Lonchura striata: one gene and its partner. The protein of the gene in region 2 interacts with the protein of the main gene of each other region in a pairwise test. Links are inferred from orthologs where the notes say so. Each region holds a gene or a part of one and is shown on either strand. Other genes may lie near its edges.

What was found. The genes of interacting proteins can lie anywhere in the genome.
Region 1: the proteins of PACSIN1 (region 2) and EHBP1 interact in a two-hybrid assay, tested with the Homo sapiens proteins (2 studies listed by BioGRID and IntAct). The link is inferred for Lonchura striata from reciprocal best matches to the Homo sapiens genes PACSIN1 and EHBP1.

What each region holds. Positions count from the first base shown.
Region 1 is NC_134605.1:653,084-660,210, reverse strand, and holds the start of EHBP1 (EH domain-binding protein 1), read right to left. Parts: upstream 3,102-7,127; 5' UTR 3,023-3,101; intron 1-3,022. UniProt on the Homo sapiens protein: May play a role in actin reorganization. Links clathrin-mediated endocytosis to the actin cytoskeleton. May act as Rab effector protein and play a role in vesicle trafficking.
Region 2 is NC_134632.1:4,264,127-4,271,980, reverse strand, and holds the start of PACSIN1 (protein kinase C and casein kinase substrate in neurons protein 1), read right to left. Parts: upstream 3,017-7,854; 5' UTR 2,865-3,016; intron 1-2,864. Other genes in the region: RPS10 (small ribosomal subunit protein eS10), read left to right, coding at 4,642-4,791, 5,386-5,557. UniProt on the Homo sapiens protein: Plays a role in the reorganization of the microtubule cytoskeleton via its interaction with MAPT; this decreases microtubule stability and inhibits MAPT-induced microtubule polymerization.

The DNA of each region.
Region 1 (7,127 bases), on a different chromosome or scaffold from region 2:
AATCAATCACCAAGACACCTTCCTTCCATCCCCCTAACCAGAGCTCCAGAGCTCAGCAAAGGACCTGCACAACAACAGCACAAGGCTGGTAGAGGCATCTCAGCATCTCTTTTCCTGGCAGGAATTCCTGTATCAGCCAAGCTAGCAGAATCTGTCTGTTTTTGGAAAACAACGGATATATCAAACATTCTGGCAAAGCCCAGGAGAAATGACAGTTCAATGATGTTGAAAAGAAAATTATCAGAGAGAGATTAATTTGTCTGACAGTATGTCTTTATGCTCTCCACTGAGGAAGAACAAGAGTCCTTTCATGCATATTGAATTTACTTCTGGTGAGTCAACCTCTGTCAGAAGGGCTCTAAGTGCTGCTGGTTTAGGAAAACGGGTGATTGCTGCTACCTGGCACCTGCCCCCTGCACACCTCGGAGCATCAAAGCTTTCCAGCCACTGCTTCTGCCACCAGCAATGCTCATTGTGCACCCTGCCTTGGGGCATAGCACTCAGAACATCTCCTGCACTATCCATCAAAACATGAGGAGGCACATGGGACAGCCAAATGTGGGGCTGCAGGCCATGGAAAGCTCAGAGTCCGGGTTTGGAGATGAAAAGAGGGAAGGAAGCAAATGGTGCCTGTTAACAGGAGTGGCAATCCCAACCCATTTCTCACAGGACTTTGCAGGTGCTGCACCCTGCACTGCCAGCTGCCTGGGGTCATCTCTGTCTGCAGGACACAGCAAAACTTGACCATGTTTTCCGCAGCCAGCTCTTGACTGCTGTGGGTCACGGCTTGTGCAGAAGCAATAATCCCTGAACAGGCACAGAATGATGTTGAGGAACAATGTTCTACTGAGATTGCCTGCAGCAGACATTTATCCCACACTGACCATCCATTGTCCTTCCAAGACATCCATGAGCTAAAAGCTCAGATACAAAGTAATGCCCAGAAGTTTCAGGTCCTTTTTTCTCATAAGATGCCAAACACAAATGACAGTGGTATGGATTTTGCCTTATGCTCCTGCTGTTCTGCACACCATTCTGGCAGCCCAAAGGTGGCAGCAACCCAACTGAACTCATGGGTTGTTTCTTTCCTGCAAGCAGCAGGAATGGGGTGTCACTCCCCAGTGTGACACAGCTGGGGACAAGGGCAGAGTCACGGGGGGCCTGGTGTGTCCCAGCGTGGCTGGGCACAGGGAGTGCCTCTTGGAGGCTGCAGCAGCTGGCATCCCAAAGAGCAATGCCCACACAGGTCCCTGTGTCCAGGGCAGCAGCAACAGCTCCTGTTTGCTCAGGCACTTCTTCCATCACAGGATTTTCTTTTGCCAGCCTCTTTGTTGAGTGGGCAAACTGTATAGGCAGTAAAACTGAGCAACTCAACGTGAGCCTGTTGTTTATTTAAAGCATTGCCCAAACTACTTATTTTTCCTATTATGAATCTTGGTAATACTGGAATGAGTTGAGCAAATCCTCCCAGCCAAAAGATGAACCAGAAACTGTCACAGAAGCAGGCATGAAAAGTTTGGCTAAAGTATAAGGAACCAAAAAAAGAGGGTCTGGCACCTGGCAGCTTCAGTAGCTATAGATGTCCTTCAGCTTGCTTGACCCACTACATCAATCCATGCTGACCTCACTGCTCACCACAAAATTGAGATGCATTCCTCAGCCCACGGCAACATCACCTCAGCGAGACTAAAATAAAACCCACTGAAAGGTTTTATATAATACCAAGGCTACAAGATCTCTAATGTAGTTTTCTTATTGGAGCAAGAGCCAAGTACAGCTTAAATTCATTAGCTAATAGCCTGTGACAATGAAGGACAAAGACAATTATTATGCACATTTCCAAGCTGATTGTTTCTGTGTGAAGAAAACGCAACAAATTATTGTTCTGCTATATTAACGTACCATAAAGGATTACTATCATATCCATTTCAAAAAATCCCTATCCCTTTCAAAATGCAGACAAATGCCAGATAAATTTGATTTTTATAGATGAAAGGCTTGGTGGAAAATTCAAGATTTTATTAGGGCTATGGACAATCACATTACATTTTATATGCTATGACGACTTCACTCCTGAATCAGGAAATTGATCTCAGGACATTTTTTTTTACTGAGGATTTACCAATTCCCTGAGTATCTCTCATGTATCTCAAACACTTATCCTTGGATATAATAGTCAGAGACATTCTTAATAGCTACTTGTATTTATAGAAAAGTCAGAAAATAAATACAACATAACATCATAGCCTCGTAGAATCATTGAGGTTGGAAAAGACCTCCAAGATCATCAAGTTCAACCTTTGTCAACCAGACCACAGCACTGAGTGCCATGTCCACTCATTGGTTACCGTGTTCAACAAGGCACTTACTGCTGGTCATGAAAGGAGATCAGGCTGGTCAGACAGGAGCTGCCTTTCCTAAGCCCATCCTGGCTGTCCTTGATGCCCTGCCTGTGCTGTGAGTGCCCTGTGCTCACACCCAAGATCTGAGCAACCTCCAGTCACCCGGGACCTCAGGGACAGCCAGGGCTGGTGGGGAATGATGGATGGGGAGTGCCTTGGTGAGCCCTCCCAGCAGCTCCCTCGGTGCTTCAGGGAAATCCCATTCTGCCCAACACACTTGTGAGCATCTAAGTGGCACAGCAGGTCACCACCTACCTTCTGCTACATCACAGGGGGTCTTTTCTGCTCCCTGCCTACCAGCTCAGGGGGCTGATTGTTCTAAGGATAACCAGTCTATCCCAATGTGAAAAGGATAAATAATTTCACCACTTCCAGCAAAATGTATGGTAGATCACACTCCACGCTCCTTGTAATTTTTTAATGCCAACAGGTGAAGAAAGCACTGAGGAGAGGATGTGTCACCTCAGCCTGCCAGCTGCTGTAAATTCAGAGGAAGCCACAGCAGCATGGGGGTTTAGGTGGTGGCTGCTGCTACCCATTTCCCAATGAGCATCTCCTGAGGAAAAGCCACTCGGGGAAGCACCCAGGAAGGCAGTCAAGTCCACACACAGCACACTTACCCTGGCTAGCTCAGCGAAGAGAGGCAGATGGGCCTCTTGTATGGCCAGTTCAGCGAGGTTTACTTCAGCACCCCAAAAGGGAACCAGAGACAAAAGAGAAATCAGGTGCTCCGCACGAGGTTTAAGTAGGGGAAGAGATGGGGGCGGTACCAAGGGCAGGGCAGAGGGTGTCGGCTTTCAGGGAGGAAGGGGTACCACAAGCCAGGAGGAAACAGGGAAAGGGAAACCAGGGTAGGTGGGACATATGGGGAAAGGAACTGGGATGATCAGTGTTAAGCAAAAGCCCATGAGGAAGAGCTTTCTATCAGCCCAGGTGGGCAGAACTCTGTGGTTAAGTGTCCAAGGGAGGGCCCTGGGATTTCCCTGAGGGGGAAGGAATCAGAGGATTCCAGAGGAATCCCCACAGGTCAGGGGCCAGTTCTGTACTCACGTACACGTGGAGCAGCTCTGGCAAGAGGCTGCTGTCCTGCACTGTGTCAGAAAGGGGAGGACTGACACCATCACCCACCAGCAGCAATGGCTTCCTCCCATTTTCATTTCTCACTGTCATTTTCGTGACAAATTTGAGTTTTTCTGAAGCTGTGACTGCTTCCTCACCCCTTGCTCCTTTCCCAAAAAGTGCTGGATAACTTATTTCAAAAGACACTTCTCCCAGCATTTGAGTAAATGACTCACAACTTAAGTAACACCAAGCAGGCTTTGCAGAGGAGCACAGAAGGCCTGGGTTCAGGCACAGCATTTTCTGAAGTCGCACATTCTGCTAAGCATCCACCATTGCTCTCAGGGACCATGCAGGACCACTCAGAACCTGGGGCAGCAGCCCATCCTCCTTCCCCTCTGCACTCCCTCCCAGAGTGTCACTCGAGGTGTCCCAGTTACTCTGGAGTTAACAGGTCATTCACACAGAACCCCAGCCTCACTTACCCTCTAGAGATAAGTCTGAGCAGGAGGCCCTCCTTCAGCAAGGGCTTTGCAATCCATCCTGAAATGAGAAAAGCTGCAGGGGAATTCTGGTGTCCCAGCAGATCTGCCTGGGATCTGCCATTGCAGGTGGCCCACAGGCTTTGAGGTGTGCACTGCAAGGCTTTACCCTCTCGTGCCCCCCCAGTTCCACAGCCCCAGCTTTGTGGGTTTTCTCTTTGCAGCTGACACTTGCAGTATAAGCCACTGAGGCTGTAATAAAATGCTCAGCACTAACGATGCATATGGAGTGTTACAGATTAGGAAATGCAATGTCATTTTTTTTAGATGTCATAAAAACATGATCAGATTCCCAGTAGCCCCCAGAGAGACTCGGGAATATGTTTATACACCAAAATGTCAAAATCATAAAGTGCCTGCTTTTGCACTATTTATTTTTCATGGTGGTGAAGTAGTTATTACATGACATTTTATAAATACAGTGACTCAGAAATAAGTAGTGTGCTGAATAACAAGCTTTCTACTCTAATACAGCACCATACATTTTAAACCCCCAATTTTCTTGAGGCACTCACACAATCTATCTTAAATACAACAAATAAAAGTGAACTCGGAGCAGGGAAGAACAATCCTGCTGCTGAGTTTTAGTTTCTTTTCCTTTCAAGGGAGGTGTACTGATGGTCACAACAGCAGGGTTAGGCAATGAGCAGCAGTAACTGTGTTTCCCAAAGGGCAGGGACAAAAGAGGCAGCATGTCTCACTATTATGACACAAGGGAGAGGTTGCAAGAGAGTATCACGCCAGCAAGATTAAAATTAACAAAATCCTTCCTTGAAGGAAGGAGATGATTTAAAATTGCTTGTAATTAATACAGGAGAAACAACGCTGCACACAGCCCTGCTCCAGCCAAGAAGTCTTCCAGATTTTCACTGCTCAGCTTGTAATACTCCTGCTTACAATTTTTTTTTTTTTAAACGCACAGCGGATTTTATTGCCTTTTTTAGCTATTAATATGCAACCAATTATAAATTGTGAGTTGCAGCACTGGGTAATTTCCCTTCAGGAATGCTAAGCAGATTCTGTGCTGTATCAGGCCATGTGACAGCACAGAACTACCATCCTCTCTGACTTTTTTTTAGCAGCAATTCCTAAACACATGCTCAGCAGGAAAACTGGAGCAAGCCCCATCTTAGGACCTCCTTGTGATGCTGTTTTTATAACTTGCTGGATATTCTGCCTAAAAAGAAAGGAAAATTTAGGATTTAACTCACGTTCTCAGGAGTGGAGATTCAGATGAACAATAGGAAGTAACAGTAGTATTTTTTACATCTTGGAGGTACTTGTCTTATTTTCTCTCACTGCTGTCACCACATTCAAAGCTTCTTGTTGAGGCCTGTCAGAGGAGAGAGGGCAAATTTGAGGTGTAAGGTTAGAAAAATAGAAGGAAAACAGAGAAGGAGGCAGTGTGAACTTTGATTTCCTGCAGCCACAATGCACCTCACACAGCAGCTGTGTCCCTGTGGTGAGGAGCCACTGACAGCTCCCAGGATGAGCTGGGCTGGAAGGGACCCCAGGGATGCTCATGTCCAGCTCCCAGGATGAGCTGGGCTGGAAGGGACCCCAGGGATGCTCATAGCCAGGCCCCAGCCCTGCAGCACCAAACCCAGCAGCACCCACTTGCTGCAGGTTTTGGCTGCACAAAAGTCCCCTCTTCCCCTTTTCTGTTTCTCCTGGGATGAAGTACTTGTAATAAAAGCACCCTCCCACCGAGTGAAGGTATCATTATTGATAGTTATTGGTACCATTGCATTAATGGCAGTGGCTGGGCCAAAATGAAGCTCAAGGCTGCTGGCTGAGTCTGCACCAAGCCCAAGCAGCAGGAGCTGTTCCTGAATTTGAGCATGAGCATGGAACCAGGATGGCATGGAACCACACGACCCACAGAAGGAGCTATGGATGAGGATGCACATTAAGTGTCACTGTTTATGCATGCTTTACACCTCTTTTCTGTTAAAAATCCCTTCACTGTGTGGAAAAACAGTTCTTTACACTGAAATGGGAAAAATGCTGAGGCCAGGCAGTACTTTTTATTGTCTTACCATAATCACAGGATTGTGGTAAATCACAGGATTATTTGGTGAGTGTCAGAACTGGGTTTTGGCTGAGGCATTTTAATGCATAGGGACCCTACACGGTAACACAAGCTCAGACATAAAACACCGAGCTAGGGCCAGAGCTGTGATATCTTACTGTCTTTGTCTAGAAACTGCACTCAGCATTTGTAATCCTTCACAAGCAGTTTCAAAAAAGCTCCAGTGTTTGTGAGATCTAAGGCCAAATTTGTGTGCTAAAGTGTCAGGGGAGCTGAGGGCACTCCAGGGGTTTTGCTGCTGTGCTGCTTTGTGGTTTCCAGCAAGATGTTGGCCTGTCCTTTCCACACTGGCCCACTCAGCTCCAGAGATCCTTTCCCTCTCAGCACCTTCACATCACCTTTCAATCAACAGCTATTAAAAGAACTTCCAAAAGTGTTTGCGGTTCATCTCAGTCTACATTTGAAGATAAATTCACAGTATGGGCAAAAAAGAAAAAATAATCCACTCAAGTATAGAATATCCAGATTAATTAATGCCCTTGTTTGTTCTTTCTATTTTATCCTTCACTCCCTCCACCATTCATCATAGGTCCAAATTGGTGCAAATGGACTTCTGAATGTGTGACAACACGTCCATCTAAGAAACCTAATTCAGAAGCAATTCTTTTCCTTACTTTTCTTTATTCTTTTCCTTCTCAGGGTCCAAGAATGTTTATGGGAGCTTGCTAAGGAACCATTTTGATTTGCCTGTTTGTGTAAAAAATAATCCATGTTTCCTTGACAAGTTGAGAATACAACATGCCAGGAATAACTTGCATACTTTGGGAGGTCTTTCTGCTTGTGGAAGTCCAGCATGCTACTGGCTTTATCAAGAGGTCTAAAACATGCTTGTGGAACTTGAAAAAGGTCTGTCCAATGACTAATGCAGTCCATTTGTATGGATAGCTCATTAAATTAGCAGAAATGCTAAGTCTTACAAGAAGCAATTGCTCTCTTATGCAAAACACGAAATGTGCTCATCTGGAAAAGGAAATTTCACATCTCCTAGCTAATAGTGAAATAACAGACCATCACAAACTCCTTCCAGACTCT
Region 2 (7,854 bases):
TGCCGGGGCCGCTGCCGCCGGGATCGGGTTGCCCAGAGAATGCGACCCGGTCCCGGGGGGCTCTGCCGGCCTCCGACGCCGGCTCAGCTTTCCCCTAACAAGCTCCTTCGACTGCCTAATGAAGCTCGGTGGGGCTCTGCAGCCCGCCTGCCTCCCGGCTCCTCGCAGCTCCGTGCCACCCGAGCCAGCCCCCATCAGGGCCAGCCAGAACAGCCCCCGGAAGGTTTCACGCCCTGCTGCAGCTGGGGTGACACCTCGGAGATTTAATGTCCCCAGTCCCAAAGAGGAGTGGGATGGACGCTGGTTCCTTTAGGAGCGGGGGATCTTTGCCTGTTGGCGTTTCAGAGGGTGCTGAATATCTGGTCATGGTCCTTCCAAGCAGTGAGTTGGCAGTTCTCAGCACTGGGATGTCCCAGGCACCATCAGCATCCCTGCTGCAGAGGGATCCTTGGCATTAAACATCAGGTGACAAACGCTCTCCAGGATGGTGATGGGGGGACCTCAATGACTCGGGGGGTTCCCCAGTGCAAAGAGCCATCGCCACCAGCTTTGTGGTCTGCGCAGGTGGCACCAGCTCAGGTCTCCTTCCCTGCAGCTTGGGCTGCTCCATGCAGGGAGCAGGTGGGAGCTCTGCCTCCTCAGTTCCTTCACCAAAAACTCGGTCACGACAAACTTTTCCCCGGCTCTCACCATCCCACCGTTTACTGTTTTCAGTGGTAAGTCACTTCTCCTCCTGTAAATGAGTTTCCTTGTGGGAAGCAGCAGACGGTATTGGCAGGAAATAAGCCCTGATTTATGGGGCCACTTGCCGCTCTGGAATTACAGCTCCGTGAGCACAAACGGAGCACAGGAGCCCACACGGTGATCCCGGCGGCTGCTGGAGCCAGAGCAGGCAGGAATGAGGAGATGCCACCAGGAATCAGCCGCCTGCCCATCAGCCAGGCAGGAGTGCCGGCCCTCGCACGAACCGGGGGGGGTTTGAGCGCAGCCAGCTCCCCAGCAAGGAAGGGAAATGTGTTCCCTAAATCCCGGCAGAGCCCCGAGCTATGGGGCTCAGCTGCTTCTGGGAGACACGGGAGAGCCCATGGGCGGTCCAGGGAAGACTGGTGTGGATGGGGGCAGAGGGAATCCCAGGATCCCGAGCCCATTCCTGTCCTCCGCTGCCTCCTCCCAGGGCAGCTGGGGCTCGGGGGGCCGGATGGGGCCAGCGCCCCACGCTCGCCCCATGCCCGGGCTGCGTCGCCGCTGCGGATGTGCCGCCGGTCCCAGGAGCCCTCCGGGGAGCTGGGAGAATACAAGCGCTACTTTGCATCTCTAATTAGCCGCGGAGGATAATTGGCGGCTCTGCGGCAGACAGGCAGCCATTGTGGAGGGCCCCGCGCGGGGCAGGTGCTCCCAGAAACCCAAATCCCACCGAAACAATTCCCTTCTTGTCTGCCTGTGACCGGCCGGGGCATCCTCCGAGCCCTTCCGGGGAAGGGGCTGGGGCCGGGACATAAAGGCTCCATTTTTCCCAGGGAAGCAGCTCGGGGCTGGCTGCGGGCAGCTGCCCGAGGAGCCCGCACATTCCACCCACGGCCACAGCCGTGCTGGGGCTCGCTGCCTCCGGCCCCGCCGGCTGTGCGGGACACAGCCCCTGCAAGCTGCCGGCTTGGAGGCGGCCTCTCCTCCTCCAGCACCATCCGCAGGAGCTCAGCAGGTCCGGAGTTTGCCTTCAAGGTGTTGCACAAACGCCGGCCAGGCTGGCATCCCCGGGACAAAGTCTGTCCCCGTGCCACGCGCTGTGCTGGTGCAGCCTGGCTCTATCCCTGTGCCATCGCCGTGCCCTGGCAGGGACCGGCAGAGCTGGGGACAGGCCATTCCCAGCGAGGGGCATCCCACCCAGAGCCCAGCCCAGGCTCTGGGCTCGGGACAGCCCCGCTCGGTGCTGCCACGCTGTGCTGATGTCCCTTCCCTCGTGGCCCTGCCCTGTGCGCGTCACTGTCGGTCCCTGCCTGTGCCTGGGCTCTCTTCCCTCAATCCTTTCTCGGTTCAATCCCGCTCCCGTCCTGCCGCAGCCCCTCCGGCGGCCGCACACCCCGGGAGAGGAGGGAGAGGAAGCGGCCAGGGGCGACCCCGGGGCAGGCAGCACCTCCAGCACCGGCCGAGCCGCTGCCTGCTGAATTCCCCGATTTTCTCTGTGCTCCTGCAAAGGGAACACAAAACCCCAGGAGGTGGCAGGACTCTCAGGGCTTCATTTTCGGGGTCAGGCGCGCTGGCAGCCGCAGCGGCTGATCTCTGCCGTGCTGCGGCCGCGGCCTTTTGGCTTATTAGGGCTGGGGTTTGCCCGGGGAAGGCGACGCGGGGGCCGAGGGATGCGGGAGCAGCCGGGGAGGCTGCCGGGAGAGCTCTAATCCGTTTAGCGAAGCACTTGCTTTGCCATTTCCAAGGCAGGAGGTGCAGGAGCTGTGATCTGCTGCAGCAGCGACAGCGACAGCGTGTCCGGCCGGCGGGGACAGCTCCTGCTCCGCGGGCCGGGCCGGCTGATGCCGCGATTGTCGCAGCATCCTGCGGGTCACCCTGTGGGACACCTCCGTCCCAAAGGAAGAAACGAGGGGGTGACACCCAGCAAAGCCCCAGGACGGCACCGGGCACCTCCAGGAGCGCGGCGCATCCCTCGATCCCTCCCGTTCCCCGCCCGGCACGGTCCGGCACGGGTCGGGAATCACTTAGAACGGGTCGGGCGCGGGTTGGTTTCCCAAAGCAGGGCGCGGAGCCGGTTCAAACACCGGCGGGGACAGCGCTGTCACAGCGCCCCGGTCCCCGGCATCCCCCTGTGCCCCCCGGGCCAGCCGTGCGCCCCCCGCCCGCCCCGCCGGCCGTACCTCGGGGCCGCGGGGACAGCGGCGGAGCCTCTCCCGGGGCCGGCGCTGCGCATCGCGGGCAGGTCGCGGCAGATGGGGCGGAGGGAGGGGGTAAAGATCAGCTCGGAGATTAGGGCGGCATTTTTAGCCGACCAATCCCCGGCGCGGCGGCTCCTCGGCCGCGCAAGGTGACAACGCGCCCGCCGAGGGGATGGCGATAAACCCCGGGGCGCCGCGGTCCCTCCCGCGGTCCCCGGGCTCCGCTCCGGTGCTCCGAGTGCCCGCGGTGTTCAGGTGTCCGCTCCCCCCGGACCCCACACGGAGCGGGACACGGGAGGGACACCGGGGGGACACGGGGTGCGCCCCAGGGGACACGGCTCCGGTCACAGCCCCGGACGGGGTCGGGGGAATCGCGGCTCCCGGGCCGGTGTGTGCGGAGCAGAGCGCCCCGGTGCCTGCGGGAGCCCCGAGCCCTCGGGCCGGGCTGCGACCCGCGGCTCTCCGGGGTCCCGGGCAGCGCTTCACGGCGGGGGACAGCGGGCACCGCGGGGACTGCGGGTGGCACGGCCGGGGCCGACACGGGTGGTGGTGGCACGGGTGGGGATGCCACGGGTGGGGATGGCACGGCCGGAGGTGACACGGCCAGGGGTGACACAGCTTTGGGTGGCATGGCTGGGGATGGCACGGCCGGAGGTGACACGGCCAGGGGTGGCACAGCTTTGGGTGGCATGGCTGGGGATGGCACGGCCGGAGGTGACACGGGTGGGGATGCCACGGGTGGGGGTGACATTGTCGGGGGTGACACGGGTGGGGATGGCACGGGTGGGGGTGACACGGCTGGGGACGGGGGTGGGGGGGTGACACAGCCGGGGGTGACACAGCCGGGGACGTGGGGGATGGCACGGCCTGGGGTGGCACGGCCAGGGGTGATACAGCTTTGGGTGGCACGGCCGGGGATGGCACGGATGGGGACGTGGGGGATGACACAGCCCCGAGTGACACAGCCGGAACGTGGGGGGTGACACGGCTGGGGATGGCACGGGTGGGGACGTGTGGGAGGCGTGACACGAGTGGGGACGCGGGGGCGGAGGTCACCCGCCGTGCCCCTCAGGCACCGCGGCGGGCAGCCCGTTCCCCGGGCAGGAGGGGGCCTGCTCTCCGCGCAGGCAGCACGGCGGGCGCCCCCTCCCGCCGCCGAGGGGGTCCTTGGCGCGGCGGAAGCGGCGGGCCGGCGCACGCGCAGTCCTTTCCGGCCGGGCCCCGCCGCCGCCGCCGCCACGGTGAGGCCGCGCTCGGGCCATCGGCCGCGCATCGCCGCCATCCCGGGGTCTGGGGGCCCCCCGCCGCACTTCCCCCATCGGGGCTCCACGCCCCGGCTGTGCGGGGAGAAAGGGACCGGCGGCGCCGGGCCGCGGGGTGGGGTTGGGTGTCCGGCGCTGGCACCGGGGCGTCCCACCCCGGCCGCTGCCGCGGGGGTTCGGTCGTGCCCGAGCACGGACAGCCCCGGCCCGGTGGGTCCGGGAGCACCGCCCGTAGCTGATTTCCCGTGCTGGGGGCGCTGCCGGTGTCGGTTCCGGCTCCCGGTTCCCTGGTTCAGTTGCACTTAACGGCGGGGCCAAGCCGGGCTCTCCCCGAGCCTGCCCCACCTTGCCCGGTGTGCCCGACAGCGGGCGGGGGTGCGCGGGATGATTTACGGAGGAAACGCTGGGATTTCCCGGTTTCCCTCCCGGGAAGCGCGTCCCGGGGTGGCCCAGCACGGTTCCCGGTCCCCGAGCCCGTTTTGCTGTGCCCCCTGCAGATGTTGATGCCCAAGAAGAACCGGATCGCCATCTACGAGCTGCTGTTCAAGGAGGGCGTGATGGTGGCCAAGAAGGATGTGCACATGGCCAAGCACCCCGAGCTGGTGGACAAGAACGTGCCCAACCTGCACGTGATGAAAGCCATGCAGGTGGGGGGCTCTGCTGCTGCTGCTGCAAAATTAAACTTCACCATTGTAATGTGAATGAAAAATTAAACTTCATCATTCTAATAAAGATTTGTAGGGAATGGGTATGTTTAGCATGTTGGGACTCATTGCCCTTTAATGGACATAATGCATACCTCTGACAACTCTTGTTGATCTTTTTTTATTTCCTTTACTAATTTCTCTATGCATAGAATTTTACAATAGCTTAATGCATATTCATTCTGCTGATTTCACGTTATACTTACAGTTAGTTACACTTGTACTTAGTTTTTTCTATACTTTCTAACAAAAACTTTTGGGTCACTCTGCCGTGTCTGTTTTAAGATCTTAAGAGTCTTTTTTATCTTTTAGTGTGCAAAAGTGTGTTAGTAGTTTTGCTAGGCTGCAGTTACTAGACTAAATTTATTTAGCATATTTAGCAAGCTCAAAGTGGCACATTTTCTTGAAATCTGAATAGATTTTTACCTTATTCAATTTTCACTCTGTCTCACTGCCTTCTGTCCCCCTTCCCTGCTGAGGAGCTGGGAGAGGCTGGAACTGGGAGGAACTGGGAGTAACTGGGAGCTCTCCCCGCAGTCCCTCAAGTCCCGAGGCTACGTGAAGGAGCAGTTTGCTTGGAGACACTTCTACTGGTACCTGACCAACGAGGGCATCCAGTACCTGCGGGATTACCTCCACCTGCCCCCCGAAATCGTCCCGGCCACGCTGCGCCGCAGCCGCCCCGAGACCGGCAGACCCCGGCCCAAAGGTCAGCTGGGGCTGGGAAACGTGGGGGAAAATTCAAACTCCATCATTTCAATATTTATTTATAGTGCTGGACGCACGTGGGGACTTGTTGTTCTTTAATGGCTCGCTTTTGATAACTTCATTGATTTTTATTGCTCTTATTAATTTCTATACTCATAGAATTTTACAATAGGTTTGTGCATAGTAATAGAATTTTATATAAAAATAGGTTTATGCATATTCATTTTGTTGATTTCGTGTTACATTTCTAGTTAGTTACACTCGTATTTAGTTTTTGTTAGAAAGTATAGAAAGAACTCTTGGGTCACTTTGCTTGTTTAAAGGTCTGAGGAGTCTTTCTTATTTTTTATCTTTTTAGTGTGGAAATTTGTCTTTTTTTTTTTCTTTAGCTGGGGTAGTTTTATTAGTGTTGCAGTTACTAGACTAAACAGCATATTTTACTCAAACCATCTCAACTCAGTACCAAGCTCAAAGCGGTACATTTCACTTAAATCTAAATGGATTTCTAATTTCTACTCTGTTACATTTTTCCTCTCTTTCAGCTGGGCAGCCAGGGGTGGGCACAGGGGGCTGGGCAGCCAGGACAGTGCCAGACCTGTGGGGATTGGGTGTAAAATCGTGAGCAGAGCAAGGAAATGTGGTCGGGGTTTGTGTCCCACCCCAGGGATTGGCCTTCCCCAAGGAATGGGATGGGGATGTGGAGGAGATGTTGGAGCCCCACCTGGGCATCACCTGTGGCCAGTGGTGGGTGTCCCACTCTGCCTTCCCCAGGGACACTGAAGGTGCTCCTGGGACAGGGCTCCTGAAATATTTACCCCCACAGCACCCTGGAGTTGCTAGACAGCCCAGATCTGAGAAGGCTTTGGGGGAATATTTCAGGGGCAAGGTAAAAGATTCCAAAAGAAGCTCTAACCCCCAATGTAGTCCTAGACTTTTATTCTCAAAAGTTTCCAGGGGAGAAAAAGGGAGAACAAGGGAGAACAGAGCCTTGTCTAGACTCCTGCTCATGAAAATATAATTGGCTCTCAGCCAATTAGGTCAAGAAAGGAAGGAAAGGTTAAACTAACATGGTTACAGCTACAGGGGTCTCTGGTGGGGAAAAAGCCATTTCCCACAGGAATACAACCAGGTCCTTGTTTAAGGTGAACAGCAAACTCGTGGTGGAGGAGCAGCAGAGCTCACAAAAATGCTGAGGGGTTTGGAGCACCTCTGTGAGGAGAGACAGAGGGAGCTGGGCCTTGTTAGTCTGGAGGAGAGGAGACAAATCCCCACAGATTTGCCCAGGGCATGTACCAGAGGATGCTGCCAGACTCCCTTCAGCGCTGCCCAGTGGCAGGACAAGGAGCAGTGACCAGAAACTAAAATACAGCAAGTTCCACCTCAGCATGAGGAAGAGCTTCCCACTGGAGCAGCTGGGGGTGTGGTGGTCTCCCTCTCTGGGCACATTCCAGACCCACCTGGACACGTTCTTGTGCCACTGCTCTGAGTGACCCTGCCTTGAGAGGGCTTGAAGAGGGTGAGCTCCAGATCAGCCCCAGCTGCTCTGTGATTCTGTGTGTGGGGCTTGCAGCTCTGATTTTCCCTTGGTGGCTTTTCACACCCCAAGTGCAGGGGGTGCAGCAGACTCTGCTCTGGGGGATCACATGGGTTGTGCTTTTTTGCTTCTGAGCCACTTTGGGGGCCAAGGAGCGCTGGGAGTTCACCCCCAGCTGCTGCAGTTTGTGTCTGAGCCAAACAAAATGGGAGCATCACCTGCTTCAAAGGAAGGAATTGCAGAGAAACTGGGAATACGATGCTTTCTTTGATCTCTGAGTTGCTTGGGTGTTCCAAGATTTGTTCTTTAGATGCTGCGTTTATCCAGTGAGCTTAAAGGAGCTGCATCCCTGCTGGGAGGGAGGGAGGACTGGCAGCTTCTGGCTGGGGTTTGTGCAGGAGGAGCTGTGTGTGGTGTCACAGGATTGTCCTGGTGCTGGAACCCTCCTCAGCCCCCTCTGGGCAGGGATATTTGGAAGGGCTGCACTTGGTGCTCTTTTTTTACTGTGGATGAGGCAGCAGCAGTCTGAGAGCCACAGAGGTGGTGTAGTAAAATAATTATTGCAAGAACTGGGATTTTTATGGCCATACCAATGCATGTGGATGTTCAGGAGGATGCTGGGGTGCATCCTTGGTCCTGCCTGGGTGGGCTCTGCCCAGCCTGGGCTCCAGGCACACAGCCCAGTCCCTGAGAGGTGGTGGTCCCACCACAACTGGGTGTTCCTGCAGCAGTTTTGTCTGCTATTAATCTGACATTCTACAGAT